Linked DNA regions of Canis lupus familiaris. The protein of the gene in region 7 purifies or fractionates together with the protein of the main gene of each other region. This does not show direct contact. Links are inferred from orthologs where the notes say so. Each region holds a gene or a part of one and is shown on either strand. Other genes may lie near its edges.

What was found.
Region 1: the proteins of DHX9 (region 7) and LARP7 purify together in Homo sapiens (affinity purification with mass spectrometry; 3 studies listed by BioGRID and IntAct, with this or other methods). This does not show direct contact. The link is inferred for Canis lupus familiaris from reciprocal best matches to the Homo sapiens genes DHX9 and LARP7.
Region 2: the proteins of DHX9 (region 7) and PRPF8 fractionate together in Homo sapiens (co-fractionation; 3 studies listed by BioGRID, with this or other methods). This does not show direct contact. The link is inferred for Canis lupus familiaris from reciprocal best matches to the Homo sapiens genes DHX9 and PRPF8.
Region 3: the proteins of DHX9 (region 7) and PABPN1 purify together in Homo sapiens (affinity purification with mass spectrometry; 4 studies listed by BioGRID and IntAct, with this or other methods). This does not show direct contact. The link is inferred for Canis lupus familiaris from reciprocal best matches to the Homo sapiens genes DHX9 and PABPN1.
Region 4: the proteins of DHX9 (region 7) and RALY purify together in Homo sapiens (affinity purification with mass spectrometry; 3 studies listed by BioGRID and IntAct, with this or other methods). This does not show direct contact. The link is inferred for Canis lupus familiaris from reciprocal best matches to the Homo sapiens genes DHX9 and RALY.
Region 5: the proteins of DHX9 (region 7) and STAU1 purify together in Homo sapiens (affinity purification with mass spectrometry; 6 studies listed by BioGRID and IntAct, with this or other methods). This does not show direct contact. The link is inferred for Canis lupus familiaris from reciprocal best matches to the Homo sapiens genes DHX9 and STAU1.
Region 6: the proteins of DHX9 (region 7) and HNRNPAB purify together in Homo sapiens (affinity purification with mass spectrometry; 3 studies listed by BioGRID and IntAct, with this or other methods). This does not show direct contact. The link is inferred for Canis lupus familiaris from reciprocal best matches to the Homo sapiens genes DHX9 and HNRNPAB.

The regions. Positions count from the first base shown.
Region 1 is NC_049253.1:7,465,567-7,470,329, reverse strand, and holds the start of LARP7 (la-related protein 7), read left to right. Parts: upstream 1-1,776; 5' UTR 1,777-1,954; intron 1,955-2,127; exon of another isoform or gene 2,128-2,336; intron 2,337-4,763. UniProt on the Homo sapiens protein: RNA-binding protein that specifically binds distinct small nuclear RNA (snRNAs) and regulates their processing and function.
Region 2 is NC_049230.1:45,763,356-45,767,321, forward strand, and holds part of PRPF8 (pre-mRNA-processing-splicing factor 8), read right to left. Parts: intron 3,457-3,966; coding exon 3,327-3,456; intron 2,587-3,326; coding exon 2,390-2,586; intron 2,263-2,389; coding exon 2,056-2,262; intron 1,937-2,055; coding exon 1,773-1,936; intron 1,621-1,772; coding exon 1,494-1,620; intron 1,375-1,493; coding exon 1,182-1,374; intron 919-1,181; coding exon 731-918; intron 575-730; coding exon 336-574; intron 110-335; coding exon 1-109. UniProt on the Homo sapiens protein: Plays a role in pre-mRNA splicing as core component of precatalytic, catalytic and postcatalytic spliceosomal complexes, both of the predominant U2-type spliceosome and the minor U12-type spliceosome.
Region 3 is NC_049229.1:3,702,380-3,707,134, forward strand, and holds the start of PABPN1 (polyadenylate-binding protein 2), read left to right. Parts: upstream 1-1,650; 5' UTR 1,651-1,658; coding exon 1,659-2,009; intron 2,010-2,358; coding exon 2,359-2,473; intron 2,474-3,194; coding exon 3,195-3,262; intron 3,263-3,524; coding exon 3,525-3,631; intron 3,632-4,494; coding exon 4,495-4,582; intron 4,583-4,670; coding exon 4,671-4,755.
Region 4 is NC_049245.1:23,759,659-23,763,624, forward strand, and holds part of RALY (RNA-binding protein Raly), read left to right. Parts: intron 1-1,706; 5' UTR 1,707-1,715; coding exon 1,716-1,971; intron 1,972-3,078; coding exon 3,079-3,151; intron 3,152-3,340; coding exon 3,341-3,388; intron 3,389-3,966. UniProt on the Homo sapiens protein: RNA-binding protein that acts as a transcriptional cofactor for cholesterol biosynthetic genes in the liver. Binds the lipid-responsive non-coding RNA LeXis and is required for LeXis-mediated effect on cholesterogenesis.
Region 5 is NC_049245.1:36,467,148-36,471,113, reverse strand, and holds part of STAU1 (double-stranded RNA-binding protein Staufen homolog 1), read left to right. Parts: intron 1-2,594; coding exon 2,595-2,799; intron 2,800-3,966. UniProt on the Homo sapiens protein: Binds double-stranded RNA (regardless of the sequence) and tubulin.
Region 6 is NC_049232.1:3,625,131-3,629,537, reverse strand, and holds the start of HNRNPAB (heterogeneous nuclear ribonucleoprotein A/B), read left to right. Parts: upstream 1-1,447; 5' UTR 1,448-1,641; intron 1,642-1,724; 5' UTR 1,725-1,747; coding exon 1,748-1,956; intron 1,957-2,680; coding exon 2,681-2,849; intron 2,850-3,517; coding exon 3,518-3,676; intron 3,677-3,856; coding exon 3,857-3,988; intron 3,989-3,989; exon of another isoform or gene 3,990-4,407. UniProt on the Homo sapiens protein: Binds single-stranded RNA. Has a high affinity for G-rich and U-rich regions of hnRNA. Also binds to APOB mRNA transcripts around the RNA editing site.
Region 7 is NC_049228.1:16,115,425-16,119,390, forward strand, and holds part of DHX9 (ATP-dependent RNA helicase A), read left to right. Parts: intron 1-1,088; 5' UTR 1,089-1,110; coding exon 1,111-1,221; intron 1,222-1,824; coding exon 1,825-1,965; intron 1,966-3,966. UniProt on the Homo sapiens protein: Multifunctional ATP-dependent nucleic acid helicase that unwinds DNA and RNA in a 3' to 5' direction and that plays important roles in many processes, such as DNA replication, transcriptional activation, post-transcriptional RNA regulation, mRNA translation and RNA-mediated gene silencing.

The DNA.
Region 1 (4,763 bases), on a different chromosome or scaffold from region 7:
AGAATGTAATGTCTAAGCTGTAAACTGAAATAACCATAACCAAAAGAAGATGCCAGGAATGTATTTCCAAAAAGGAATCAATGTATAAGGTCCTGTGAAAGACACACCAAGGCATGACCAAGGAATTCAGTTCAATTAAGGGGTCAAGTTAAGACAATGAATAGTGAGTGAGAGAGAAGATTGAAAAAAATGAGCAATAGGAGTCAGAGGGCCTTCTATGCTATGCCAAGTTGTTTGAATTTTCTATAAAGGGAGTGCAAATGGTAGGGTTTTAAGAATAAGATTACATAATCTAACTTGGGTTTTACAAAGATCGCTCTGGTTGCTGATAGGAGGCATAAGGGAGGGTAGCCCTGGTGGCGCAGCGGTTTAGCGCTGCCTGCAGCCTGGGGTGTGATCCTGGAGACCTGGGGTCGAGTCCCACGTTGGGCTCCCTGCAAGGGGCTTGCTTCTCCCTCTGCCTGCATCTCTGCCTCTCTCTCTGTGTGCTCTCATGAATAAATAAATAAAATCTTTAAAAAATAAAATACTAAAATCTTTAGAAGAGGCCTAAGTCCTACGTTCAAAGGAGTAAAAAAAAAAAAAAACAAAGGAGTTAAAATACCGTTTACCGTTAAATAGTTGAAATGGTATCAGCTAACAACATGGCATTTAAGTGAAAAGTAAAAACAAAAAAGAAAAAAAGAAAAAATCTGGGGACGCCTGAGTGGTTCAGCCCTTGAGTAGACCTCGGCCTCCCGCTCAGGGCGTGATCCCGGATCCAGTCCCGCGTCGGGCTCCCTGCATGGAGCCTGCTTCTCCCTCTGCCCGTGTCTCTCTCTGCCTCTCTCTCTCTCTCTCTCTCTGTGTGTGTCTCTCATGAATAAATAAATAAAATCTTTAAGAAAAATTTTTTTTCTAAAAATCATCTACGTCAAATGTTGACCCACCTCCAACGGGTAAAAGTTCAACGTGCAAAGTTTTAAAAGCGGTAGGGATACCTCAGATGTCTGCAATAATTATATAACCACAGATGTGCACATTACCTCCCCAAAGACATTACCCATACGTCCCTATGCTGCTTTATACATTCATATATAAAATTCTGTGTTCTCCATAAAATATGAACCAGTCTTATTTATGTTTAAGTACGAGGAGATGTTTTTGGTCTTTTTATTTTGGAACAAGCAAGATCTTTAGAATCCCTAAATAGTTCAGATTTAAAAGTTCCAGAGTCTCAAACCCAGTATCCTGTTAAGAAGTCGCTCAGTCCAAATGACCCAGAGAAGCCCACATTTCATTGCCAAGATAATAATTACCATGATTCTGTGTAACCGAATGGCAGTGAGACTTGACCCTCTGTCAGGCCTAGATAAACACAAAGAGCAAAACTCTCTCTGGTCCTTACACTTATTGCCGGAAGTGCAACGCAGAGGCTGGAAAGGCTGTCACTCCCCACACCTGGTTCCAAACAGCACCAGCAACGGCTCGCTTCCGGCGCAATAGAGCCTCTCAACACTTTGCCCTAAATTGCGACGCCGCCTCTCGTTCACATCCCCTTTCCTATCCACCTTCACTCCCAGAGAAGCAGAGGACTTCACCGGTCCGTAAAACACACGTTCGAATTTCTCCCGCGGAAGGCTGTGACGTCATCAACCCGGGACCGCACGGGATCAGGACCCACTACTCAGCCCGCCCACAAGTACCGACGTTTGCAAACCGCCAATCAAAACTTCTCGTGGTCTGTGAGCCTCCTCGGCCAGCCGGGTAACCCGACGCCCCGCCCCTTGCGCCAGCTCACGCCCGTGACGCAAGCGCCGGGCGCGCCGTCTCCGTCCTCGCGCTCGCCTTTTCGGAGGCGTACGGGAGAACCGTGTCGCCCACCCTATGACGCGGAAACCAGCTCTATAAGGATCTGGAGACGGAAAGGTTGGAGGACGAAATCACCGGCCCAGTATTTTGGGAACTGGACAGAGTAAGTTGGAAGTAAACTGTAGATCGTGTCGCTCAGGTTGAGTGAGGCTTCAAGTCTTCTAAGTCCTTTGTCACGCGCTCCATTCTATCATCTGTCGGCCCTTTCACTTCGTCCCCTCCCACAAGCCCATCGGTTTGCTCGTCCTGTTCCTCTGCGCACGCGCAAAGGTCCTTCAGCGGCCCTTGTAGTTCCAGTTTTCGGAGATTGGGGGCGCATATCGTCCGGCTTTAGGAGATCGGGGGCCCGCCCGGTATTGGGCAGCGTACTTGGGAAAGGACTGGTGTCGACGGGGGGCCGTAGCCAGAGGTGAAATCGCCGGGCCTCGTAGATGTGAGCGTTGGCGGCCAAACGATAGCGAGTGTGAGCACTTAAGTTTTTAAAGTTAAGTCACTTTCTTATTTTCGGGATTCTAGTTTTTGTCATCAGAGAATCGAAAAATCCAGTTACGGAAGGGAGCTAACAAATTATAAATGTCAGTGGAGTGTACTGAATGCGTTAATAAATGTGCTTGAGGGAAAATAGATGAGGAGGCAATAAATTAGGGGAGACGTGGTGGTGGAAAGCTGGAGAGAGTAAGATGCCATTTAACGTGGGCCTTGAAAATTGAATAGGAGTTTATAAGGCAAGTAAAGACAAGACTAATTGAAAGAACAGGCACGGTGTTCTGGTACCGTTGAATGGTCAGCCATGGTAGAACAATGACTTAACGTTTTTGACACCGTTTCCTCTAAAAATGGTAAAGGCTATGGATGAGCATCCTAGGAAGATGCATGCACGTCAAGACATTTTACGTATGATTTTGCTGGGAAATTGTGGAACACCTTGAAATGGCCAAGAAAAAAGATACTGGATGTCTTCTCTAGCTGGCTCTTCCAGGTTCTCTCTTTCATTATCATTGAGCTATTTTACATTTGTGTTAGTTGTAGGAAACGATTATAATGGAACTTAAGTCTTGTAGTTAATCAATTTTGTAGTTATGGCCCTAACCAGTTTTGCATCTATTAACAAATTCATTTCAGTGTTCCTGATTGCTTAGATCTTTTAATTCTCCTTTGAACTAGTTTTTTAATAGAATATTTTAAAATTTATTATTTATTTACTCTATTTTAAGTAGACCCCATGCCCAATATGGGCCTTGAACTCTCAACCCCGGGATTGAGTCGCGTGTTCTACTGACTGAGCCAGCCAAGTGTCCCCTCCAGAACTAGTTCTTTTGTTTTGTTTTTTTTTTTAAGATTTTATTTATTCATGAGAGACACGGTGAGAGAGGAAGAGACAGAGGGAGCAGGCTCCTTGCCGGGAGCCGAATGCGGGACTCCACCCCCAGACCCTGGATCACACCCTGAGCCAAAGGCAGAAGGCAGATGCTGAACCGTTGAGCCACCTAGGTGTCCCCTGAACTAGTTTTTTAACACTTAACTAATTCCTTGATTAATTTCACTAAAATAAAATATTTGATACGTATTCATTTTATGTTAATTTATATTTAAATTCCTTTGTTTAAAATTTCTCTTTTGGGGCACCTGGGTGGCTCAGCGGTTGAGCGTTTGCCTTTGGCTCAGGTGGTAACACCGGGTTCCTCAGAATGAGTCCCGGGTCGGTCTCCCCACAGGGAGTCTGCTTCTTCCTCTGCCTCTCTCTGTGTTTCTCATGAATAAATACATAAAATCTAAAATAATAATAATAATAAAATTTATCTTTCATCAATTTCACAGAATTCATAGGAATGTTTGAAACTCACCCAAAATTCCATAGACTTTAGGTTAAGAATATCTGGGTCAGAATACAGAATGTATCATGACAGGCTGTAAGAGGTTCTACTAAAAGGTGGGCAGTGTAAGGGAGTCAGACTTACCAGAGCTTGTTCACTTAACTGAGCATGTTTACCCAGCTGATTTTGGCCAATTCACTTAATTTTTAAGCCTCTGTAAAAAAGAATTTGAAAGGAACCACCTAATTGTGATTGTGAGGATTTAAAACAATATTTAAAGTAACTGGAATTGTTACACAGTACCTTTATTGTTTGTGTAAAAGCCCCTGTTTAGAAGCCAATTTGATGTCACTGATTCATCAACAATTTTTTAAACTTACATATTCTAAGAAGGTACTAAGGAATTTTTAATGTTGAAAAGTTTTAACATTAAAATTAAAAATTAGATCTGTGTTTTAGACAAGTTACACAGCTTATGAGGAGGATGAATGACTTCTAGAACGGTTTATAAATTGTTCCCATATTGTAGTGATACTCTTTGTGGAAAATATTGGAGGGAAATAAAAACCATTCCAGAAGTTAAATCGGTAGGACTTGGTGACAGATTGGTAAATGATAAAATAACGATAATGTTACATTTTGTCAAGTACGTGAGAAGGTAGACTCAGAGGATCAAGACTCACGAAAGTACTGCTATGTGACTTCTTGATTTTCATAGCCATTGCATTGGGAAGTGAAATTATACCATATCTTGTTACTTCTTGTATCTTTCTCTTATGTATGAAAATATATTTGATTATCTACAGGATATGTTTCTTAAGATCACAAATTACAGACAAATGTTAGGCACACTAGGCAAGAGTTTTAGAACTTAGTTTTTCAAGTCACGAAAGTAAACCTTAGAGGTCTCTGAGATGAGAGTGATGGAGAAAATCTGGTTTCGGGAAAAATTTGGACTTTCTGCATTTCTACAGTTCTGTCCACTATTTCCTTAGATAGTGGTTCTGACAAAAGGAATTGGAGAGCTGATAGTCTGTCCTTTACAATTTGGAGTTTTTGCAAAAGAGAAGGTTAGCATTGAATCCTCCTGTATTGATC
Region 2 (3,966 bases), on a different chromosome or scaffold from region 7:
TCGGGGCCAGCACTTCTTGTTATTATAGCCAACGATATTTTCATTGTTCGGGTCAGGATGCTCTGTCAGGTAACGCTGGATCAAGTCCCGAGCCTCATCTGCTGTGAACCTACACCAAGCAAGATGCATTGCTGAGATCCAAATAAACTGGGAACTCACAAGACCTACAACTCCATAGATAAAGCCCACCTCCAACTCCCACCCTACTCCTAGGACCTTCTTTCGGTTTTAGAGCCCAAGCCAGCAACAAGTCAACTAACGTACGATAGCTGAGTCCAGAGGCTGGGGACATGCCTCAACGCCCTGCCAGGATAAGAATCCAGGCAAGCCCTCACCTGAAAAAAATATGGATGCGATCGATGTATCTGCAGAAGAGACGGATGGGGTGGGCAGCCTCAGTGGCTATGTCCTGGAAACTGAGAAAGTCATTTGGCATCTGAGGGGGCCCAGCCATCTCACTGGCCCGGTGCAGTCCCAACACCAGCAAATCCATCACCAAACCATAGTACTGCACAATGAATGAGGCAAATTGCAGGCCTCTAATGATCCCGTAGGAATTTGTATGGTTCATGTCCTAGAATGAAAAATTGAGAACTCTGAATAATTCTTAACTCATAGCCATGTCCCAGGCCTCTCTGGGGCCCATCCTGTTTGGTCTTCCTTTCGGCAAATCCTTCCTCACCCAGACACAGCCCCTCCAATTCCTTGATACCTTGCCTCCAAGACACACCTTATAGTTGATGACGACATTGTTCTTGGCTGTCATGTAGTCAGCTATGTTGTGGTCTACAATGAGTCGCAGCAGCCTATTAAGCAGGGTCAAGTCAATCTTTTCATACATCTTCTCAAAGCGTGATTCCAGCATGACATTGCACTCGCCCTCACTTGTCTCCCACACATCTTGCAGATTATTGATGCCTGAGTAGGCAAGAGAGATCTCCAGGTTAGAAATTCCCTTCCAAGGCTAGTACCTGCAGTCCACAACCTCATCCCACTAATATTCCACTCATTCATCAGGACTGCTAGGAGTGTCAGCTTTGCTCAGTTTAACATCAACATTATTTCCTTGGCACTATGCAACAAGAGTAAGCTAATTATACTACCTGGATGAGAATTTCGATGTAGAATTAAATCAACCCAATTCACCTCAGTTCCAAAGGGCAAAGCAAGAAAAACTTTACCTTGGCACCACTTGTAAACAAGCAGAGGAGGTGGTTCTGTGTCGGCAGGCTTGATCCAGGGTGGGAAAAGGCGGCGCTTGTCAGCTTCATACCAAAGGTACTGGTCCAGGTAGGCATCAGTGATCTTCTCCAGTGGCTCTACATCATATACTGGCACCAGGTGGCTATAAAGATCCATGAACTCAATGCCCACCTGTGGGACAGGGAAACTTACTCAGATCCACCAATACCTGAAGCAACCTGCTACCTGGTGCCATACGTGAATAGCACAGCCAACAGAAAACTAGGGGGAGGGGGGAGCATTTTACTCACTTCTTTAAAGGCTCTCTGTGTGAGGAGGTGACGCTTGATGCGTGACAGTGCCTCATGGGGATTGTCATAGGCTTGCTCGATCAGACCTAGCTCTTCCCTCTGAGACTGGTTTAACCGAGACTTCACACTGACAAAGAAACAGGAAAGATGAATGGGAAAACCAAGAGGAAGCCAAACCCAGAAAGGCCTAAGGCTAAACCTTCTTCCTTTGGACACTAACTGTGATGCTGTCTTCCTACTTTCACCTTCCCAAGGGAATCCTCCTACTGTACTCCTCACCTGTAAGCTTCCTTGAGCCGCTCCAAGGCCAAGATGAGCAATTTGGTGTCATGCTTGTAGGAGAGTGGGGGAAATGGGATGGGTGAAAACCTCCGGCTCTCCAACCAATGCACAGTGGTGGTATACACTGCCACCGCTTCCTCTGCTGTGATGTATGGCCCATCCTGCAAAAGACATGATAATCAACCACTGTAGCCTAATCCCTACAGAATAAGACATAGTCCAACTCTGCAATCTTCCCTCTGCCCACTCCCCATGCCTAGCCCAGCCTAAGCTGCACGACCTTCAGGTAGTTGTGCTGTCGCTCCTGTTCTGCCTTGAGATAGAGCCGAGTGAGGCGCCCCAGGTTCTTTTTGCAAACAGTCTTGTCCACAGTGGCTCCACGGCGGATTCGTTCTCGGTTATAGTGGGCAGTGTTGGTCCACCAATCAGCCTTGGCCTTCACATATCGAAGGATCATATTCTCTATGGGTGTTGGCAGCCCAGGTACCTGCAAGTACAAAAGGCACAATGAGAATGTGATAGCAGTCACACAGCTCCCAAAGGGAGTCCAGGAGTGATAATCCTAACCCCAGAGAGATGATGTCCATGCCTTCTTGGAGTGGGGCAACACCTACCTTCCAGGGAATATTGGCCTTCCAGCAGCGCCAGGCTTCACTGAGGTGCTGCAGGATCGTCCGGGCCTTGTTCTGTTTGATTCCCTCAGGCATCATGTCCAGAATGTCATGCATCACAGCTGCCCGAAGCTCCAGGTCAAAATGCGATTCCACTCGCTGCTTTGTTACAGTCTTTGCCACCCCCTTGGAGTGTCGGCCTAGAAATGAAATTTTTTTATAAGAGTTTTTAAAATTTATTTATTCAGAGAGACAGAGAAAGAGAGAAAGGCAGAGACACAGGCAGAGAGAGAAGCAGGCTCCACGCAGGGAGCCTGACGTGGGACTCGATCCCGGGTCTCCAGGATCACACCCCGGGCTGCAGGCGACGCTAAGCCGCTGCGCCACTGGGGCTGCCCAAAATGAAACTGATTAAAAGCAAGATTCATGGCTTTCAGTAAGCCTCTACTACCATGCTTCCTATTAATCATGGTTACACTGAAATCAACAAGCATAAATAGTGTCCAGGGGATCCCTGGGTGGCTCAGCGGTTTAGCACCTGCCTTCAGCCCAGGGTGTGATCCTGGAGACCCAGGATCGAGTCCCACATCAGGCTCCCTACACGGAGCCTGCTTCTCCCTCTGCCTGTGTCTCTGCCTCTCTCTGTCTCTCATGAATAAATTAATGAAGTCTTAAAAATTAAAAAAAAAGTGTCCATATGCCTAGCACATGCAAAAATGACAAACTATTTCAGACATTCACAACTACGCTTCTGAGAAATTTCCATCCTTCAAATGCAAGATAGCTTCAAGGCCCCAAAGAGAAACCAAGAAACACAACAGTAGGTCAGAATCACTAGAGAATGGGACCTACAGGCAATCCAGCAGGAAGGGATAGAATGGGAACGTAAGATCTACCTGTGAAGTGATAAAACAAACTGGACACAGAGAAAACCACTCACCTTCAAACTGTCGGGCCAGGAGGTTGCCCAGCCACCGCTCCAGCAAAGGGGTGATGCCACGCATGAAAAACAGCCAGACTCGCCAGCCAGCAGCCCAGAAGCCACAGCCAGGGCCCTTTCCTACAGGGCCCTGTGGTCCCAAGCAGTAATAAAGAACTTAGGTTAGCAATTGATTTAGAGAGCAAGAAAAAACTGCACACACAGATGGGGTCAAGAGGAACACATCTCAGGCAACAGAGGGGCAAAGAGGCAAAACTCTGGGACCTCAACATCAAAAATGGAATAAATGAGAAATTCTAACACAGAAACCAGTAACTGGGATTCTCTATTTAAAGGCAGGCTTCAATGGAAAGTGTTACAATTAATAAGGTGAGGGCAAGTAATGAAACGCTCAGAACCTTTCTCTAAATTGGTCCCCGGAAGGAACGCTGACTAGACATAAAAATTAAAATGGATCTGAGACTCGGGGTCATGAGATTGAGCCCCATATCAGGCCTCACACTCAGTGTGGACCTAGTTAAGATTCTTTTTCTCTCCCTCTGCCTTCCAAACACAATGAATGAATGAATGAATGAATGAATGAATGAATGAATGAATGAAAGAATGAACAAATGAACAAACTGGATGAAGAAAGTGAGAG
Region 3 (4,755 bases), on a different chromosome or scaffold from region 7:
CTAACAGGGATCTCCTCTTGTCCAAATCTCCTCACCCCAGACACACACATCCTGTTGGGGTTGTCTGATTAATTTGATTGGGCTCATTTGAATCTGGCTGTCAAACCCTAGCTGCGTCCGGCTACAAATAACCCTCTTGCAAACTTTGCACCTTTGTTTCTTCTTTTTAAATAAATGTGTAGTATCACTACTACATATGGCAACCCTGCTTTCCAGGGTGATGTCTCATTGGTTATCTCAGAGTGGAAACTTGTGGTGGGAACCTGCCTGGAGGAATTCCTCTGTGGTCTGAAGGAAGGTTTGGGGGCTGCGAAAGAGTTGAAGATGAGGGTGGCACCCAGATTCCCGGTCAACGCAAACATTTATTGACAATATGTGCCAAGCATATTGCCCTACAGTGGAGCTGCAAATATAAATAGGATCCAGCCTCTCCTCTCCAAATTCTCAGGATGCAGGACAAAATGATTACGTGCACAGTGGAGGTAGTAGGCCTGCTAGTCATGGGAAAGGAGAGGAGGCTAGCATAAGGTTTTGCACGAGCGGTGATGCTTAGGTTTGCAGTGGTCTGGTTGAAGAGGGACTTCATGTACAGAGGCACAGAGCTGGGTGCAGGTATACCCCCTGGAATGAGGAGTGTAGAAATAACATTTGTGACGTAGGCTGGTCCTGAGGTCTCTAAGGCCACGGTACAGTTTTACTTTTACCTGGCCAGCAAAGGGGAGCCAGCTCACTGTGGTAGCGGTGAGGACTGTTAAGAGTGACACTGGAAGCTGAGAGATCTATTAGGGGGCTTAGCAAACAGCCCAAGAAACAAACTGAAACTGAGGCATGAGCAGCGGGCTTGGAAAGTATGCCTGCACAAGGAAGACAGATCAGACAGGACTGGTAGCTCTGGACTGAAGATTCCTTCCTGCTTTCTGGTTTGGGAGACCTGATGGGTGTTGGTACCTTTTGGTACCTGGATGGGGAAAGCAAGCATCTTACTGGAGAGCTCCATTCAGAACCTCCATTTCCAGCAACATTCCATCCACTGGTAGCTTCCTGGTTAGCAAACCAGTTTACAGAAACCGCCTCAACGTTTCCAGCCACTGCTTTCTAACATCTCTCCAGCCGGCGACCAGTAGCGTCAAGATGGCGGCCCCCCGCCAAGGACTAGTCATGTGACCTCGGCTTTCCATGGCTGGAAGCCTTGCCGTCCGTTGCGGGGCAAGGTTCACCTGTCACGAAACGGATGTTAGCCCTTCGAATCTCACGAGCCAATCGGCATCCGAGAGGGCTATTGCTGCGAGGCGATCGGAAGATTGGCCTTGTCTCCTCGCCCTAGCCAGCGGCCAATCACCGAGCGTCATATACTCGCGGATCCGCCTGGAGGTGGGGGTGGGGGGAGGCAGGAATGTCGTCACAGCGTGGCGGTATTGTTACCTAAGGGGTTGAGAGGAGGTGGGGCGTATGTTGATTGACAGGCCAGCTCCCCTACCGGGATTTGAGAATTTGGCGCAATAGCCCGCCTTAGGGGTGGGGTCTTATTTGATTGCCAAGTAATATCCCCCAATGGAGTCCTAGCTCGTGGTGACGGGCAGGTTGCTAGACTAATGAATCCTCGGCGTGCCCGGCGCTGTTCTCCAATCGCCGGGCGGCGGGCCCCAGTCTGAGCGGCGATGGCGGCGGCGGCGGCGGCGGCAGCAGCAGCGGGGGCTGCGGGCGGTCGGGGCTCCGGGCCGGGGCGGCGGCGCCATCTTGTGCCCGGGGCCGGTGGGGAGGCCGGGGAGGGGGCCCCGGGGGGCGCAGGGGACTACGGGAACGGCCTGGAGTCTGAGGAACTGGAGCCTGAGGAGCTGCTGCTGGAGCCCGAGCCGGAGCCCGAGCCCGAAGAGGAGCCGCCCCGGCCCCGCGCCCCCCCGGGAGCTCCGGGCCCTGGGCCTGGCTCGGGAGCCCCCGGCAGCCAGGAGGAGGAGGAGGAGCCGGGACTGGTCGAGGGTGACCCGGGGGACGGCGCCATTGAGGACCCGGTGAGGGAAGGAGGGCGAGCGAGCAGGCCTGGCCGTGTCACGGGAGGCCCAGAGCTCGGGCGAGCGGGAGGCAGGCGGGGGGTGGGGTGGGCGGGGAATAACGTGGCTGGGGCAGGGCCGGGCGCGGATCCTCGACGTCCAGAAGGGGCCCAGCCGGGTTGATTCGGGCGTTATGGGTGCCTAGTGTTGTTCCAGAGAAGGTAGCTTGCTTTTCTTTTCATCGCGACCCGCGCGTGGGGCGAGGGAAATGGCCGAGCATGGCTGGGGCCGCGCTTGGACGGAGAGCAGGGCGCAGCCCCTGCGTTGGTTCCTCTTAAGCTCTTCTCCATACCCTTTCCACTCATTACAGGAGCTGGAAGCGATCAAAGCTCGAGTCAGGGAGATGGAGGAAGAAGCTGAGAAGTTAAAGGAGCTACAGAACGAGGTAGAGAAACAGATGAATATGAGTCCACCTCCAGGCAATGGTGAGTAACCGGCGGTTGCACGCGGAGCCCGGGTCCTCGGAAGGGTTCTGCGAGCACGGGTTGTGTGGGATTAGATGCTCGGGACCTTGGAGCTGCTTGTATGAGCAATTACTGGGCAGGTGCTGGGGTCATAGTCCATTGTGTGTTTTTTCTGACCTTAGTGAGGCAAGAATCTCTATTTTGATGATGGTAATTTTGTGCCTTTCTTTGTCCTTTTTACAAATGTGTTCTTTGTTCTTTAGTCTACCTCTACTCTTTGTGGACGTTGCCAACTGGCATTTGACCTTCAAGTCTCATAGTTCTTCCTTTAGTTGGAGACCCTTTAGTTAGGAGTCCTAAAAGAAGCTACTCGACTGCAGAGGGCTTTCTCTTTAACCTAGAACTGTTGAGTTTGGGTTCCCTTGATTTTGTTCACTTTAAAAATGATTTGAGTCAAAGCTGTTCAATAGGGTCTTGATTTGGGAGCAGGAGAGAAATTCCTGTACTGTTTTCTCTGATTTTTTTTTTAAGGATATGTTAATCTGTTGCTTGATTAGTCAGATGTTCAGCCAAGCATCTATTGTGTGCTAGACAGTATTCTTGGTAAGGGGTACAGCAGGGAACACAACAGACCAAAATCTTTGCCTTCCCTGTAGTGGTGGTGGTGGTAGTGATGCATATATTGGTCAAATAGAAAACCAGTTTCTTGCCACCCCCCCCTCCCTTTCTTTTTTCTTCAAAGCTGGCCCAGTGATCATGTCCATTGAAGAGAAGATGGAGGCTGATGCCCGTTCCATTTATGTTGGCAATGTATGTATTGGGGCCCTGATTGGGGTTGTGGGAAGGCTCTTGTTTGGGGAGTTGGTTAATAGGAGTCTTAAGGAATATTTCAAGGATAGGTAGTAGGTTGGGGGAGTATTGAGAGGGTTTGGAGGAGGTAAAAGGAAATGAAGATCAGCAGAGGCTCTGGGGTTGGGAAGAGAAGATTAACTTCTTAGAGAACGAGAGTTGATGTGATTTTGGAGAGGATAGGCAGGGTACCTGTGAAATATAACCTTCTCTACCCTCACAGGTGGACTATGGTGCAACAGCAGAAGAGTTGGAAGCACACTTTCATGGCTGTGGTTCAGTCAACCGTGTTACCATACTCTGTGACAAATTTAGTGGCCATCCTAAAGGGTAAGTAGAGAAGTAAAATGAGGTTGTTTTAATCACATCTTAGAAATAGATAAATAATGTTTTGTATTGAGCAGCGTTAACTTGTTAAAATAAGCAGTGTTTGTTTTATGGTTAGGGCGTTAGTGTCACATATACATATCGGGTCACGTAAATGCCTTCAGAGACCAAACATAAAGATGAAGGTTAGCATGAGTGGGATTGTGAACTAGAAAAAGGAGGGACAGGGATCCCTGGGTGGCGCAGCGGTTTGGCACCTGCCTTTGGCCCAGGGTGCGATCCTGGAGACCCGGGATCGAATCCCACGTCAGGCTCCCGGTGCATGGAGTCTGCTTCTCCCTCTGCCTGTGTCTCTGCCTCTCTCTCTCTCTCTCTCTCTCTCTCTCTCTCTCTGTGTGACTGTCATAAATAAATAAAAAAAATATTATAAAAAAAAAAAGAAAAAGGAGGGACAGCATTTGCTTAGCAATCCAGGCTGTTTGTATACTATTTTATAATTTTCTTAAGAGTAGGTGGAAATTTAGATTGAAGTATTCCATTTAAAAAAAATTTGACCAGGGCAGCCCGGTGGCTCAGCGGTTTAGTGCTGCCTTCAGCCCAGGGCCTGATCCTGGAGACCTGGGATCAAGTTCCACCTCAGGCTACCAGCATGGAGCCGCCTTCTCCCTCTGCCTGTGTCTTTGCCTCCACCCCCCGCCCCCGCCGTGTCTCTCATGAATGAATAAATAAATAAAAATCTTTTTAAAAAAAAATTGACCAATAAATAAATATGTGGCCCTGTTGTTATTCAGGCATACCTGCAAGTTGGATTTGATGTGTAAGCTGCTGTAACTTCAGATGAATGAAATGACAATTATTTTTTTCAGTTTTGCGTATATAGAGTTCTCAGACAAAGAGTCAGTGAGGACTTCCTTGGCCTTAGATGAGTCACTATTTAGAGGAAGACAAATCAAGGTAAGCCCTGTACTCATTGCTGTTCTGGTTCTGTGCAAACTCTCCAGGCTTATTTTAAGACTTTCTGTTGTATATCCCTCACTTTCAGGTGATCCCAAAACGAACCAACAGACCAGGCATCAGCACAACAGACCGGGGTTTCCCACGAGCCCGATACCGTGCCCGGACTACCA
Region 4 (3,966 bases), on a different chromosome or scaffold from region 7:
TTGCTCATGGACAGTATTAAGTGCTTTCATGGGTGTGATATCTTTTGTGTTCCATACTGCTTGACAAATGATGATTGGATACAAAAGTAAACTGAGTTAACAAAGAGTTTGTCCCTTCTAGGCCCTTTCCAAAGCTTAGCACCAACTCTTTCATCAATAGCAATACCCTCTCAGCCCCCCCCCCCCCCACTTTTTTTAACCTAGGATGGTGCACACTTGCCCCCAGTATATCTGTGGAGCTACTGCAAGCCCACCATAGGAGTGGGTTTCTTCCTCTGCAATTACTCTCAGGCCCCAGCTTTTAGTTTCTTTGTGATCAGTGCCACCTGCTGGTCAGAAGATGCCCTTTTCCAGGTTGGAGGGATTGAAGAAGTCTCTTACCTGGCAGAACAAAAGATATGCCTTTCCCAGCTTATCCTCCACTCTGCTCTAATTCCCTGAAAAGAAGCTCCCTCCACCCAAAAATATTAGGTTAGTAGGCAGGTGTTTACTATTAACCTAGGCTGATGAGAGTTTTTATACATACTGCTTAGGGTCTTTAGCACCTTCTGTAATAGCTCTACGGCAGGGTATTGAAATAGTGTTACAAAAGGGAGTTGTACTAACCCATGCCAGTGAGCAGAAAGCTGGGCTGGAAGTATAAATACCAGTACTTAATGTTAGGCCTTTCCTGCTGTCACCAAGCCTCCCTTTCTGTTCCTTCTGGAGCCTGTCTTCTGATGCAACCTGTCTAGGGTCTGGGGTAGGAGAGATTTGTACAGCCCCTTGGGGTAAAAGACATTGCCAGAGTGTAGAGAGCAAAGAGTAGATACATTATGCTCTCTAAGCAAACAGTAAAATTTGAGTCAGTATAAAAATGAGTAATTCTAAATTATTAAAAACAATTCTTAGGTAAATATGCTGACTTAACTATTACATTGGCTTTAGCTCTGGGAAAGGAGAGTGATAAAGCTGGGGAAAAAAGGGGGTGTGTAAGGACCAACTGACCTGAGTTTGAGTGCTCATTCCTGGCAAGTTAAAGAACTTATTGGGGTCTGTTTCTGGTAAAATATGAACAATAGTAGTGTTTATAGGGTCTTGTGATTACTCAATATTGCATGCCATCCCTAGCCGGCAGAGAGTGCTCAATGAGGCTTGTTTAGCACACCTTTTTAAAAATAGCTGGTACCAGTAAAGAAAGCCAAAAGGCTAGGTTGATGTCTGGATCAGACCCAAAGAATTTTCATAATGTGGTCATTGTTATAGCCGATATTACTTGCAGTTTCCACGTGACTTCTTTGCCTTCTTCTACATGGAAGGAACAGAAGAAAAACAGTGGAAGGTCTTCAAATTTAGATCCTGCATGGGGTAACGTTTCAGATAAATATTAAAGAAGGAATGGGGTTAAAATAATTAGACTCAAGCCAACCAGAGTTCAAATTGTAACCCTGTTGCTCGTTAGCACTGTGGCCTCTGAATGTGCATTTTTTTTCCCTTGTGAAATGTCCTGGTTCTGCTTATCATATCAGTACCAAATGAGGGAACGTATATAAAGCACCTGGCCATGAGGTCAGCAGCCCAGCAAGATGTAAAATGGAGAGGCTGGATACTGTGGGGGTGAATGTGTAGCAGGGCACAAAGCAATCCAGTTTAGCCAGGATGTGGGCCATGGATAGCCTTTAAGCCCATCTGGGGGACCCAGCTTCACAGTGGCTCTCTCTCTTCAGGTGGCCACCATGTCCTTGAAGATCCAGACAAGCAATGTAACCAACAAGAATGACCCCAAGTCTATCAACTCTCGGGTCTTCATCGGAAACCTCAACACAGCTGTGGTGAAGAAGTCAGATGTGGAGACCATCTTCTCCAAGTATGGCCGTGTGGCCGGCTGTTCTGTGCACAAAGGCTATGCCTTTGTGCAGTATGCCAACGAGCGTCATGCCCGGGCAGCTGTGCTGGGAGAGAATGGGCGGGTGCTGGCCGGGCAGACTCTGGGTAAGTGTCTTTCCTTGGCCCTGCTTCTAGTGTTTTTCTGAGCAGGTTCCAGCCTTCACTTTCTAGCTCCTCCCTAGGCACTTTTCTGTTTCCCTTACTACTACCCACTACCTCTTTCTGAAATTGTATTTAAGTTATAAATGAAGTAGTTATAAAATCTGCCTGTATGGGAGTATTTTAGGAGCTTCTTAAAAATGCTTCTATCTTGTCTTTGCTTTCACAATGACTCTTAGTGACAAGCCTTATAGTTCCAGTTAAAATGCAGATTCCTAAGAGAAAAGGAAGGGTGGACTAGCATAGCCTATTACATTGGGCTACAGATGGCTTAGGTTAGAACTCTTTATGAGAGCCAGGAGGAGGGGCTGGGAGCACAAGGTAAAGCGGTGCCTTTGGCCTTGGTGCTGTGTATATACGATGTGGCCATGTGGCCGTCTACCTTGGAGGGTGTACAGTGCACCTACTTCTATGTATCTTGTGTTCAAGAAGAGATATCTGTATATGTGATATGTGGATATAGCTAAGCATGTGGAGAACATGTGGACACATCTTTAGTATGTATATTTATGCAAATGTGTGTCAGAATATACTAGTGCATATAAGCAGATATGCATATTTATATACACACGTCTGTCATATGCTGAGCATCATTCTAGGTATAAAGATTTGGTAGGACATTTGCTTGAATGTGCAGTGGCTCATTTGTGTATGGGCAGTTACGTATATGGACGTTGGAGTCAGCTATGTTATTTGATTACTTGGATGCATGAACATGTGTGTGAAGATATGTATTTGCAGTATTTATTTACATGAGTGTACTTGAGAATGCATATATATGTGTGATGCCCATGGCATGTGTGCGTGAGTGAGAGGTTTGTGAGCATGCATGCAGGTGTCTGAATGTAAATTTGTAAATAGGTGTATCTCTGTGATGTGCGGGTATGAATCTAATGTGTAAAGACCTCTGTTGGTTGTTTTAGTTAGGAAAGTCCACGTGTACCTCACATAAACACATAGAAATTGCTGCTCACGTGTGTGAGGGTGATACATGTTTGGATACCCTACTGTTCTGCCTGCATCTGACTGTGCCTCCTCCCTCCCTCTACGCAGATATCAACATGGCTGGAGAGCCCAAGCCTAACAGACCCAAGGGGCTAAAGAGAGCAGCATCTGCCATATACAGGTGGGGCGCTCTGTCTTGTCTCTCTCCATCTGGGTGGGATTGGTCCCTCTTTCCACAGAGGGAGTGAACACTGGTTGGTGACAGTGTGGCGAGCCTAGAGTCTGGGGAGGCATTTGGAGATGAGGACCTATGGAGAGCGGGCTGAGTGGCTGTCCCTAAGCCCTGGCCCTCTCCCCTTTGTTTCCCCAGTGGCTACAGCTTTGACTATGATTACTACCGGGACGACTTCTACGACAGGTGAGCAGGGGGAGGGGCGTGCCCAGGCATGAAACAGCCAAGCTGGAAGGGTCCTGAGAGATTGCTGGTGCAGCCCACTCGGTCCTCCCAAGTGTGAACCAGAGCCCAGAGGTGTGGACAGGCATCTGCCCAAGGCTGCTCCACAAATTGGTGGCAGAGCTGGAACTAGGGTCTAGTTCTTCAGGTCCCCAGGTCAGAGTTTCCCCCACTCCACACTGTCTCCCACTCTCTGCCCTTCCTCCTCCTAATCTGAGGGTGGGGCTCAACAGGACTAGGTAGCAAGAAACATTTAAAAATAGCAAGTTGAATTAGAGGTTACTAGGCACAGGGAGTTTGAGTCCTCCCACTCCTGCTGTTCAGTCTCCTTACCTTTTGGAGGTGCTCAGCCAGGTGGAAGGGACCTCGGAGCTCAGTGTGAGCCTCTTGGCCTTTCATTCATAGCTAAGAGGTCAGCGATCCTTTGGAGGTCTGAATTAGACCTTGGTAGTCTGTGGCCCCCTTCTTCATCAGATTGCAGCCTTGAGCTCTGAACTCCATTCCATGGCACCAGCCACATTCTTGAGTGAAAATCATGATGG
Region 5 (3,966 bases), on a different chromosome or scaffold from region 7:
TCCAGGTAAAAGGTTTGAAGATGAGAGGTAGAAATTAGTCTCAAAGTGAGTCCTTTGGATTGTCTCTGATTTCACTTATCCTTGTCTTTCCCCATATCTTAGAGAATGGAAGACTGACTGTAATTTAAATGTTTACTATTTGTTATTCAGGAATTCAGTCTTTGAAGCTTGCTTGATATCTGTACTAATGTAAATCTTGGAACTTAAATGTGTGCATATCTGGCTTTATCTTTGCAGCTGCAGTGTGAGAGAGGGTATGGTATCAGAGAAAAGGAATTGGGCCTCTATTTCCGATCCTAGCTTTGCAGTAAAGAGAATATAATTAAGGATGAGTTATTGGTCTCTTTATGCCTCATTTTTCTTGACATGCAAACCTCAAACCTTGAATGATAACAAGTTTCTTTTCATTTGACTAAAAGTAACATCAGCGGCAATCCTAAATAGGCACCATAGTGTAGTTAGGTGAGTCGCCTTTGGTGTCAGACAGATCTGGGTTTAAATCTCAGTTTCTTCTAGCTATGTGACCTTGGGTAAACTACTACTTTTTTGAACCTTAGTCTCCTCATCTGTAAAATGGGGATAATACCTACCCAAGTAGGTCTACTGTGAGAATTAAACGAGAGACTATGTATTAAAGTGTGGAGCACAATGCCTGGCAGTTAATAAGTCCTTCAGAAATGGTAGCTATTACGCATTTAAGAAACAGAAATTTGAAGAAAAAAAAAAAAGAAACAAATTTGTACTCACATGAAGCGAGTTTTAACATTATTCTAAAGCATGATCATATTTGAAATGTTTCTTTACTTTTGGAAGGCAATTCGTGATTTTCTATAACTGTTCTGTTTCTTCTACAGGATTTTTTTTGCAGACCTTAACTTTGGGATTCCCTTTATTAACTGTTTTCGGTATTTTTTGAAATACGTACTTTCTCACTTAAACTTTAGTGATACTGTAGATAATTTGGCTGTGTGTTCAATCTGTAACTGCCCTTTTTTTTTTTTAACCTTCAAGTTATTCAAAGAGGAAAAGATATTCCCTCCTAGGTGACTATTGGACTCTTTAAAAAATCAGTGGTATGGTGTCATTTTAATTCTCTTGAAACCTAGATTTTAACCCCCACTACTGACCCTCCACACAGGAGGCAGCAGAGTGGCAACAACAGGAGTGGGGAAGGTGCTGGAGAAAGGCAAGATTGTTGATGAAATTAACTCTTTGTTTCCTTAGCTTTTTTCCCCTTCAGTGTCCTTCTATGAAAGGATCATGAAATGCCCTGGAGAATTGGATAGCACTGTAGGCTCCTGCTGTTTTCCTGCTCAGGCCAGCCAGGGTTTTGAGTCCATGCTATCAGTGTTAAATTAGTAACCTTGTGATCTGCAGCATTAATTCAGAGGATCCCCTAATGGTTCCAGTGGGCTGAGGATTTTTAAATTTTTCTCAGTTAGTGGAAGCTATGCACTGAGGGAATCCTCAAGTTAAGACCTACAAGAAAAATCAGCTGTGAAGGCAAGTCACACCCATCCCTTTAGGCACCAAATTTCAATGATCTGGACATTTTCAAATGATGTAGATGGCATTCATATCAGCGTTTCTTATGTAAATTATTTGTAAATGAAACAGTGATATCCAGTGATAAAAGCAGAAAAATAAAAGCTCCACTTACTAAATTCCAAAGTAGTGAGTCTCCAACTTCTCAGTGCGTCAGTATCACTAGAGGAGCTTATTAAAGATACACTTGCTCTGGTCTCCTCCTCCTGCTTCTTAGTCAAAATCCCTGGGCATTTGTATTTTACTAAGCTTCCTAGATGAGCACCAAAGTTAGAGAATCACTGTGGTATGATGGGTCGTGTTGTTTTGATGGAGTATTAATTTAGTTCTGATAGGATTAACATAACCTAATTTTAAGAAAGGAGTGTGTATTTGGGTTATCTTTATATTTAAAACAGAATAAAGAAGCTTGCCATTATCAGCTTTTGCTGAGGATAAAATTAGCTGTTTTGGATGCCTCCTTGAGTTGAGAAACGTTTCTAGATCTCTGCTTGGTGTGGATCAGATTTTCTCCTCAAAGAGGAGGCAGTGTCTGAGTAGTATAGTCTTAGGGAAGTAGAAGGCAGTGTTTTAGAGCCTGGCTGACATTCCCAAATTTATTCAAGTTTTGGTCCTTCTCGGATTGTGTTTTCAGACAAGAGACCACAAACGCATGAGAACATCTTAATTTATATGAGATACTACTATGTTTTTAAATCAAATTTGCTATATTTCTTCCATGAGAAGTAATTGGAAGACAATTTCTATTTGGAGGACTTCCAAATAATCAATGTTTAATATTTTAATATTTAGGAAAATGTTTTCTTAATCTCTTTGTTTACCTCCATTTTTCAAAGCATAGTTTTGTCATAGAGTGCCGTTTAATGCTAGTCAATGATATGTATATCTTTTGGTGTTTATAAAAACAAAAAATGGGGATGAAGGGATAAATTGCCAAGATAATGACCAGGCCTTTTAAACCATGGCCATAAAAAATGTTCAAGGTCCAAGTGACATACTGTAGTCCACATCAGGTATCATGAATTGAGAGCTCACAATTTTCATTGTAGGTGTTTACAGTACAGCTAACACTTGGAGATCAGCACTGGGAAGCTGAAGGAACTAGTATTAAAAAAGCCCAGCACACAGCTGCTGCCAAAGCTTTGGAAGGAACAAAATTTCCTAAACCCATAGCCCGCCCTTTTCGTAGCGAAGGAAGGAATCCAGGTATTATGCGTGGGCCAAGACAGGTTCCTTTCAAAAGTGTGTTTAGAGGTACCCATTCAGTATGTATATGAATTCTTTCTTAACTAACGTGTTGATTTTGAAAGCACAGTTTCTACACTATCAGTGGCAAACGCTTACCTTTTCAGAATCCTTCCCCATACTCTAAAGCATTGGTTCCCAGGCTCTGGTCCCAAGGATGGACAGAAGGTCCTGAGGCGGGGGTGTGTGTCACCAAACAATTTCCAAGATTCCAGAAAAGCTTAGCACAAATACCTTTTGTTCCTTGATAAGGTTGTACAGATTGCCAAGAATGTAGGCTTTAGCTGGAATCACTTCAACCCAGGGTGGAAATATCAATTTTAACACGTTGATCAGAAACCCACATTGTCATACATGCCTCCTGATCATTAAACAGAAGGAGAAAATAACTTAAGTATTTATTACTCAAATACTATTAGTAGCTATTTCTTCAAATAAGGGACCCAAGCAGGGAGAAGAGTAACAGAGAAGAGCATCTGGTAAAAGCTCGGAAACCACTGACCTGCCACGGTGGGTGGGAGTGGCTGTTGTAGCCACATTACCTGTGAGTGGCTGTTTTAGCCACATTACCCGCCGGGCACACGAAGCCATCCCAGTCCCTTTGTACACAGGAAGAAATCCGGGAGATCTCAGCCATACCTTTCTTGTTGCTTTTAATTTCTTTGTGGTGTTTCGGATTCATTCTCCACTGCAGGTAAATTTTATGGGTCAAAACTGCTCTTAAGATGATTCAGGTTATACTTAAAGTGCAGTTGTTTGAATCATAAAGAAAATTTCTTTTGTTTGAAAGAGGCTGGTTATTTCTATGACCCTCTGATTTTGCAAACCCAAAGATATTCTTATAAATTTGATTCATGCACTAAATTTAGTCTAACCAGTTATGGGACAGAATCAAGTCATTTTTTATTTTCCTAAAGAGGCATTTTAAAGTGAATTTTTGTGTGCATTTAAGTTGAACTTTGCCATTGCTAGTGTTGTTCTGTGTTTGATGTGAAAGTGTTGTTTTCAAATGTGATTATGCACTGACATTATTCTTTCCAGCCTGGTTTTCCTTTTACATGTTTTTTAAAGGTTTATGAATTGGATGAACTGAGAGAAAAAAAATTGGAAAATAAACAGTGTGTGTTTTCTACAATTGATAATTCTGAGATAACTCAAATTATACTGCTCTTTTTT
Region 6 (4,407 bases), on a different chromosome or scaffold from region 7:
GGGAGTCTGTTAAATTCTGCAAGCCTTTCTATCAGATTTCAGTGAGACAACCACAGTTTTTTGGAGCTCTCAGTTCCAGTTGTGGAATCTGGTCTGAGAGTGACTGTCAGGAGGGCCTTGTGGTGAACTGGAGGGTCTTTACTCACCTGTGGGTCGGTGCCCCTGGTTTAGTTGATGGATACCCTGGAGGAAGGTAGCACTCTGTGACCAAATCTTCAGATTTTCTGGAGTTGATTATTTTTTCTGAATGTGGAACTGTTACATTTTTCATTCTCCCTGGCAACTACTGGCTAGCTGGATTATTAGGGAGCGAGCCTTGGGTCCACACTCCGGGCTTCAGTTTTCTCACTGATAAATTTGTGATGGTATCACCTTCCATTGGGTTGTTAGAAGACCAGGTGAGAAACAGAACCCCCAGACCCCCACACTAGGCCTGGCTGCAGGAACTCAGCGGGAAATGCCAGCTACTTAGGTTCTGTTGCTCTCTGGTAATCCTGGTCCATTTGGGGCCCCGGCACCCATATGATTATAAGGAATCAAGGGATTAACGCAGGCCTTTCAAGCGTGGTGGTCAAGCAGCTCAGATTAAGGGGTTTGGTGTATTAGGAAAAAAGAACCACTCCTCCCCACCTACCATCTTCATGATTTCAGGGAAATGGTTTATTTTTCTTTTTAAAGAGAAATTTCAGCAGAAATAAGTGAATGAAGTCGAATGGGAAATGTGAACCTCCAGCGTGAAAACGACGCTAATCGCCTAGGTGATGCCGGACGCCCCAGGATCGGGGAACACCCCGGCCCCACAGCGTCTCCCGCCACATCCGCCGAGAACCAGCGGCCCCAGCGGCCCCAGCGGCCCCGACGCCAGCGGGCTCCACCCCCTCTCCGCTTCTGGCCCGAGGGCGGCGGCAGAAAGAGCGGGAGCGCTGGGCCGCGAGGGCACCAAGGTCGAGGGGGAGCCCTGCCGCTGGCCTTGGGGGGCGCCGCGCGCCCCGTCTCGGCCGCCCGCGTTCCCCCGCTTGCAGCCGGACGATCGGGGCTTGCCAGACTTCTTAGAGCCCCGCTTCCTCTTTTGGGAAAGCGGTGGGCGAAGCTAGCGGTGCCGGGCTGGGGCGCCCCGCGACGAGAGCCTGCGGCCTCAGGCCGCGGAGGGGTCGGCCGCCGGCGCCCTCGGCCGCGGGGGTCCCGGGCCCGGCGGCTCGCGGCAGGGCTGGGGTCGCGCCCGGCCCGGCCGACCTCCGCGGGCGCCGCTCGCGCGGGTTCTAAAGTGAGGACAAAGCCCGCCCGGATTTCGCGTACGCGCGCCGCTGCGGCCAATGGGGCGCTAGCGCGCGTTTGAGTGACGGGCGAGCGAAACCAATGAGCACGCGCCTTGTTGCGAGGTGGGCCCGGCCCCGGCATTATAAAGAGCGCCACGAGTCGGCATTGTCAGGCGGCGGCACCGCGCGGGCCCGAGTGAGCTTGTCGGTCGGTGCGTCTGTGCGGCGCGGCGGCGGCGGCGGCGGCGGCGGAGGGCGCGAGGTCGCGGCGGCTCCGTTGGCGGCGGAGGCTAGGCCCGGCAGCGCAGGCGTGAGCGCGGCCGAGCCCGCGGCGCCTTCCCGGCGGGTGGGGACGAGCGGGCCCCGCGGCGTCATCGGCGGCGAGGTGAGCGGCCGGGCCCGCGGGCGGCGGGCGGGAGCCGGGGCGGGAGCCGCGCGGGCCTGACGCGCCGGGGCCGCTCGTTGCAGGAGCTGCCGCGCCTCGGCCTAGCATGTCGGAAGCGGGTGAGGAGCAGCCCATGGAGACGACGGGCGCCACCGAGAACGGACACGAGGCCGCCCCCGAAGGCGAGTCGCCGGCGGGGTCCGGCACCGGGGCCGCGACGGGCGCCGGAGGCGGGAGCGCGGCGCCCCCGGCCGGCAACCAGAACGGCGCCGAGGGCGACCAGATCAATGCCAGCAAGAACGAGGAGGACGCGGGGTAGGTGCGGCCGCGGGCCGACCGGGGCGCCGCCTTTGTTCCGGGGCCGCCTTTTGTTGGCGCCACGCGGCGGGGGGAGGGGCGGGCGGCCGGGGCCTGCTGGCTGCCCGCCGCCCGGCCCCTCCGCTCGCGGGCTCGCCGTTCGCGCCGGAGTTTGCAGGAGTTTGTTGGGTCGGCTTTGGCGCCGCCCCGGGGCCGCTCGCGCTGGGCCGGGGGCGGGCGGGCGGCCCGGAAAGGGCAGTGCGCTCGGACCCGGGGCCGGGCCGGCCTGGGGTTCGGCGGGGCTGCGTGGGCGGAGTTGGCGCGCGCCCCGGCCGCGGCCTCGCGGCCTCCCCGTTCCCCCCCTCCCCGGGGGCGGAGTCACGGTCTGAACGCGGTCTCCGGCCCCCGGAAGCCTCGAGTTCCTTAAGAGCGAGTTCTCGGGGGTGGCCTGGAGGGGCAGGGACGACGGCCGCTGGAGAGACGTGCTTGTTCGGCACATGGCTCCCTCCGTGCGTTAAGGGCCGATAGGTGCCCGGGCCAGAGTGCCCTTGGCCCCCTTGCCCCGTCGGGGGCCACCGAGTCTGAAGCTGCTCTAGGGTCAAGGTTGTTTGGGAGGGTGGGATTTGTTGACGCCTTCCAAATGTAGGACCCTGGGGGACTCAGGGTAGATCTGTGTGCTAGATGGCGACTTTGCTTAGAACCTGTACCCAGGAAGGGCTGGCACGTGTCTTTACCATTTCAGAAAAATGTTCGTTGGAGGCCTGAGCTGGGATACCAGCAAAAAGGACCTAAAGGATTATTTTACCAAATTTGGAGAGGTCGTTGACTGTACCATAAAAATGGATCCAAACACTGGCCGGTCAAGAGGGTTTGGGTTTATCCTCTTCAAAGATGCAGCCAGTGTGGAGAAGGTAAGCAGGATATTTGATGTCAGTGGTCTTAAGTTCATTCTAAGAGAATACTGATACCATTCTGAGCATGATTAGTTGGTGTGTTCTGTAGGTGGTTGAGCTTTGGGGAAAAACAGGTGAGGAACTTAACTGTTTTTGAAGGGATTAAAAATACAGATTAAGGGGTGGGTAGTAGGTATGGACTCAGGTCGTGCAGGAAGAGTTTAATTGGTGTTTGATGCCTACACTGGCACTGATAAAGCCATTGTTTTATGAGCACTAGAATAAGGAGTCTAGAGTTGCTGTGGAGTAGGCATTATTTTAGTCTCATTTTACAGAAAATACTCAGAAGTGTAAGTAGAAGAGTTTATACACCAGAAAGGGGTGGTTTCCAACCGAGCAGCCCACCCTCAGCCTGGACTCTTCATCACCGTTTCTTTACTTTTGAGAGACCAGCTTTAAACTGCTGCTCCTGGGAAAGCTGGTGGGGGCCGGGGTGGGCTGTAGGTATTCAGATAAAAGAGCTGTACTTGAAGTTAGATGAAGTTCGGTTGCTAAGTCAGATTGAGGGTAGTTTGGAGGGGATGAACAAGTTTGTGTACCAGTGTTGGGGCCTGTGTGGCTCAAGGAAGGGCCTTGGTGAGGGTGGTGCTGCTGAGTTAAAACTTGGTTTTCTTCTGTTGGGACAGGTTCTAGACCAGAAGGAACACAGGCTGGATGGCCGTGTCATTGACCCCAAAAAGGCCATGGCCATGAAAAAGGATCCGGTAAAGAAAATTTTTGTAGGGGGTCTGAATCCTGAAGCCACTGAGGAGAAGATCAGAGAATACTTTGGCGAGTTTGGGGAGGTGAGTGTGTGACTTTGGGAGTGACTTGCCAGTTGCCTTGAGCTTGCTTTCTCCCTTGGCTGGCCATTGCCCTCGTCAGCAAGGCCTTCCTAGGGTCTTTTCTCCTTGGAGATCCCTACGGGTCCTGGGGGCTAGGTAGGAAGAGGCATTATTGGTTCTGAGCTTTGCATATATTTACAGATTGAGGCCATTGAGCTTCCAATGGATCCAAAGTCGAACAAAAGACGAGGTTTTGTCTTCATCACCTTTAAAGAAGAAGAACCTGTGAAGAAGGTTCTGGAGAAAAAGTTCCATACCATCAGTGGAAGTAAGGTGAGGTATCCAACTCTGTATTTTGGCCTCCTGCTGCTGGAGAGCTGGCTCTCACAGGTGTGGGTTAGGAGTTGGGCTCCCTCTCCAGGGCAGTTTGACCCTACTGTTATTTTTTTTTTTGCAGTGTCTGCTGTCCTGATTGGGGCAGATGGTCCTGTCCTTCAGGGAGTCCCTAGGCTGGTGGCATTGGCAGAAACCCAGGATGTGTGGGAGGCAGGAGAAAGGGTGGTTTGTATGGGATGGAGCATGTTGAGTAGCCCCTTTGATTCCTGACTGAAAGCTAGAGATCATGCTGTTCTGAGTCTAGAATCCAAGGTGAATATGGCCTGCAGTTAAGGTCTCAGAAGATTCTAGAATTTGTTATTTATGGGTTGGTTTCCTCTGGGTTGAAGTCTTTCCTACTGTGGAGCTTTTCCCCT
Region 7 (3,966 bases):
AGAGACACAGGCAGAGGGAGAAGCTGGCACCATACAGAGAGCCTGACGTGGGACTGGATCCAGGGTCTCCAGGATCATGCCCTGGGCTGCAGGCGGCGCTAAACTGCTGCGCCACCGGGGCTGCCCCAGATTAGTGTTTTTAGTCTAAGTACTGAATACTTGGTGTATTTGGACTTAGTAGTGTGATACATAACCTACAACTTTGAGGACAGTCTGCTAGGAGACACCTCAGAATGAGAATAAACACTCTGATTTACACACAACATGATAGATGACCGTTTCTTAATCTTGTAGTTTTAATTTATGCCTCCACAGTGGGTGATTTGGAAGTTAAACTTTCTATTGCCTTGTTTCTTCCTTTGTATAGAGGTGATAATAGTATAGTATTTACCATATAATTATCTCCCATTGTTTGAGGGTTAAATGAGTTAAAACACATAAGGTGCCTATTGTAAAAAGGAGGACATTACCTAAAATTTTTTTTAAAGATTCATTCGAGAGAGCACATGCCCATGCACGAGTGGGGGAGGGGCAGAGAGCATCCTCAAGTCGACTCTGTCCATTGCCCAAACAGAGCCTGATGCAGAGCCCAGCCCCAGGACCCTGAGATCATGACCCCAGCTGAAATCCAGAATCACCTGCTCATCTGACTGAGCTATCCAGAGACCTCATAAAATGTTTTTAAGGAAAGGTCAAGGGTACTTGGGTGGTGAAATAGAGACCTTTTACAGGTTCCGTGCTGGCTTGGAACCTGCTTAAAATTATCTCTCTTCCTCTCTCAGAATAAAAAGGGCGATTTAGAATCACTTGTAGTCACTCAAAGGTAACCATTTTGAAGGACATTTCTTTTTCGGTCTTGATTTATGCATATATCCTTTTATATAGTGCAAATTGTGTAGTTTTATATCCTGTCTTTCATATAACATGTTGTAGGCTTTCCAACTATGTCATTAAAATTTTGTCATAGGCAATTTTAATAGCCTGGTAGAATATCCTGTGTTTAATCTAGATTTTCAGTTAACCAGAGATACTGGTCCTTTGCAGTGTTTGCTGTTATAAATAATGTGATGTAACTTTTGTTTTCTTAGGTCTGAAGAAGACACTTGAATCATGGGTGATGTTAAAAATTTTCTGTATGCCTGGTGTGGCAAAAGGAAGATGACCCCATCCTATGAAATTAGAGCAGTGGGGAACAAAAACAGGCAGAAATTCATGTGTGAGGTACTACAGAATACAATTTACATTTATGTGATTTTTGACACTTATTTTGGTGTTAGAACAGTATTTTCTGTTTGGAAAGAGTAATGTGTTGTTTGTTCTTTGTTGTCGCTTGCCTGCTATTCTGTTTCATTATAAATCATTTTCAAGTGAGCGTTACTTTTAAAACAAATCTGAAAGGTGAATTCTGGTTAGAACATGTATCTTCCTCAGCTTCCCCAGTACTGCTGTTTGCAGTTTTACTAATTCCTGTAGAAAGTAGATTCTTGATTGCCTCAAGTTAAGTTGTTTAAATACAGATGACGAGCTTGTTCTTGAGTCTTATGAAATCAGATTTTAATGTGGAACATTCTGTTACAGAAGAGAATATCTGAACCATATAAATTAATATTGTTGTTTTTATATTTATCAGTGGTAAACAATTCAAGCTTTCTTATAAGTTAGCTTGTAAATTCTTTTGGATGTGTTATTTTCAATGTTTTTATAGAGTATATCTTCAAAGTTTGACTATTACCTCTTAATGAACTATTGAATTACATATTTTTTAAATCCCAGAATTAACCTGAGTTAGTCTCTTCTAATACATTTTTTTCCTGACTGTTAAAGGTTCGAGTGGAAGGTTATAATTACATTGGCATGGGCAATTCCACCAATAAAAAAGATGCACAGAGCAATGCTGCCAGAGATTTTGTTAACTATTTGGTTCGGATAAATGAAGTAAAGAGTGAGGAAGTCCCAGCTATTGGGGTAAGTGCTTATGGTCCAGCACTTAAAATATATGTCACAAGGTCATGCCAACCCTATGTATAAAGACACAGGGTGATGATTTTTCAGTGATGTTTTTAAATATATTAATGTATTCTTTGGTGAACCTTAGAATCTTGTTTTCTCAGAGCCTTGGGATGAGTTCCTGAGGATTGGGATATTATTCTCATTATGTACCTGACTTGTGGGGTTGGGAAATTCCTTTATCTGTGTGTCTTATGGTTTTATATATTTCATTCATTCATGAGCTAATTTTCAGTTCTGTATACTTGAAAAGATATACAGAACATAAAAATAAAATATAGAGAACATTATATACACACACACTATAAAAATCAGAAATACCTTAGGACGCAGCGTATACCCCCATTGACAGTTCCTTGTTACAGCAGAGGAAAATTTCTATTTTGTGCAATGGCATATCATTCTTGTGTTTTGATACAAAATGATTACTTCATTTATATTGTGTAAATATGCAACAAAGACTCCCTTCTAGTGTTTTTGATACACTTTATTTTGCATTTAATTAAAAATGAAAATTGAGTTTTCACAAAAATAGAGGAATTCATAACAATATAAGAAGATTCACATTATGATTTAAGTAAATACCTAAGGTAACTTAAAAGATTCAGTTTTTATCAAAACTTTAGGAAAAAAAATCTATATTTTAACAATTTATTTTCACTGTATTCTGACTTATTTATAAAGCTTAATGTGTATGTTTTATTTCCTTCCATTGCTTTGACCCAGAAGTTAAGAGACTCACTCTGTAGTATATTGTACCACTAGATAATTGCAAATGGTTGGCCTATCTGCAAAATGAAGAGATTGGACAAGATGATCTTAGAGATTCTTTCCAGCTATGAAAAGAATGTTGCAAATATCTTCCAAATATTTGGAACATTGGGATTTACTCCATCTGTTATGACCTATTCTGTATCTTTTGGCCTCTTCCTCTCAAAGTGTAGGTCTGCAGGTGACAAATTCTTAATTTTCTTTTATGTGAAAATATTTTTTATTTTATTTTTTGTCTTGCATATTTTCACTGGACATAGAATTCTCTTGTGCCAGTTTCCTTTCTTTCAGCACTTATTTTCTTCCATTGTTATCTGATGAGAAGTCCATTATAATCAAATCATTTCCCCCTCTGTGTAATGTATTTTTTCCCTTGGTTGCATTTATTTTTTTCTTTGGTTTCCAGCAGTTTGACTATGAGGTGACTAGGTGTGGTTTTCTTTGTGCTTACTCCATTTGGAATTTGCTGAGATTCTTGAATCTGTAAATTTATGTCTTTTACCAAACTTGGGGAATCTTTGGCTATTTTTTCAAAAAATTTTTCACTTCATTTTTTTCTCTTCTCTTTTTGGGACTCATATTAAACTTTTGTATATTATCCTAAAGGTCCCTAGGGCTTTTTCTCTTTTTCTTTCTTTCTGTTCTTCAGATTGAATGACTTCTGATATCTTGAAGTTTGCAGAATGTTCTGTCCATTTTGCTGTTGTCAGTCCATCCAGTGAATTTATTTCATATATTATCTTTCTCATTTCCAGAATTATCAGGTGTTTTTTTCTTTTTTTTTTTTAAGAGATTTTAGGGCAGCCCCGGTGGCGCAGTGGTTTGGCGCTGCCTGCAGCCCGGGGCGTGATCCTGGAGACCCAGGATCAGGTCCCACGTCGGGCTCCCTGCATGGAGCCTGCTTCTCCCTCTGCCTGTGTCTCTGCCTCTCTCTCTCTGTGTTGCTTATGAATAAATAAATAAAATTTTAAAAAAAGAGAGATTTTATTTCTCTGGTGGCATTTCTTACCATTTCATTCATTATAAGCATGTGTTCATAATATGAATGTGAGTTCTCTTTATGTCATTGTGCATAGTTACAGTAGCTGCTTTAAAATTCTTGACTACTAAATCTGACATCTGGGTCATCTCAGGTTGAGTTCTGTGGATTGTATTTTCTCTTGAGATTTGTTCACCTTTTTCTCTGTA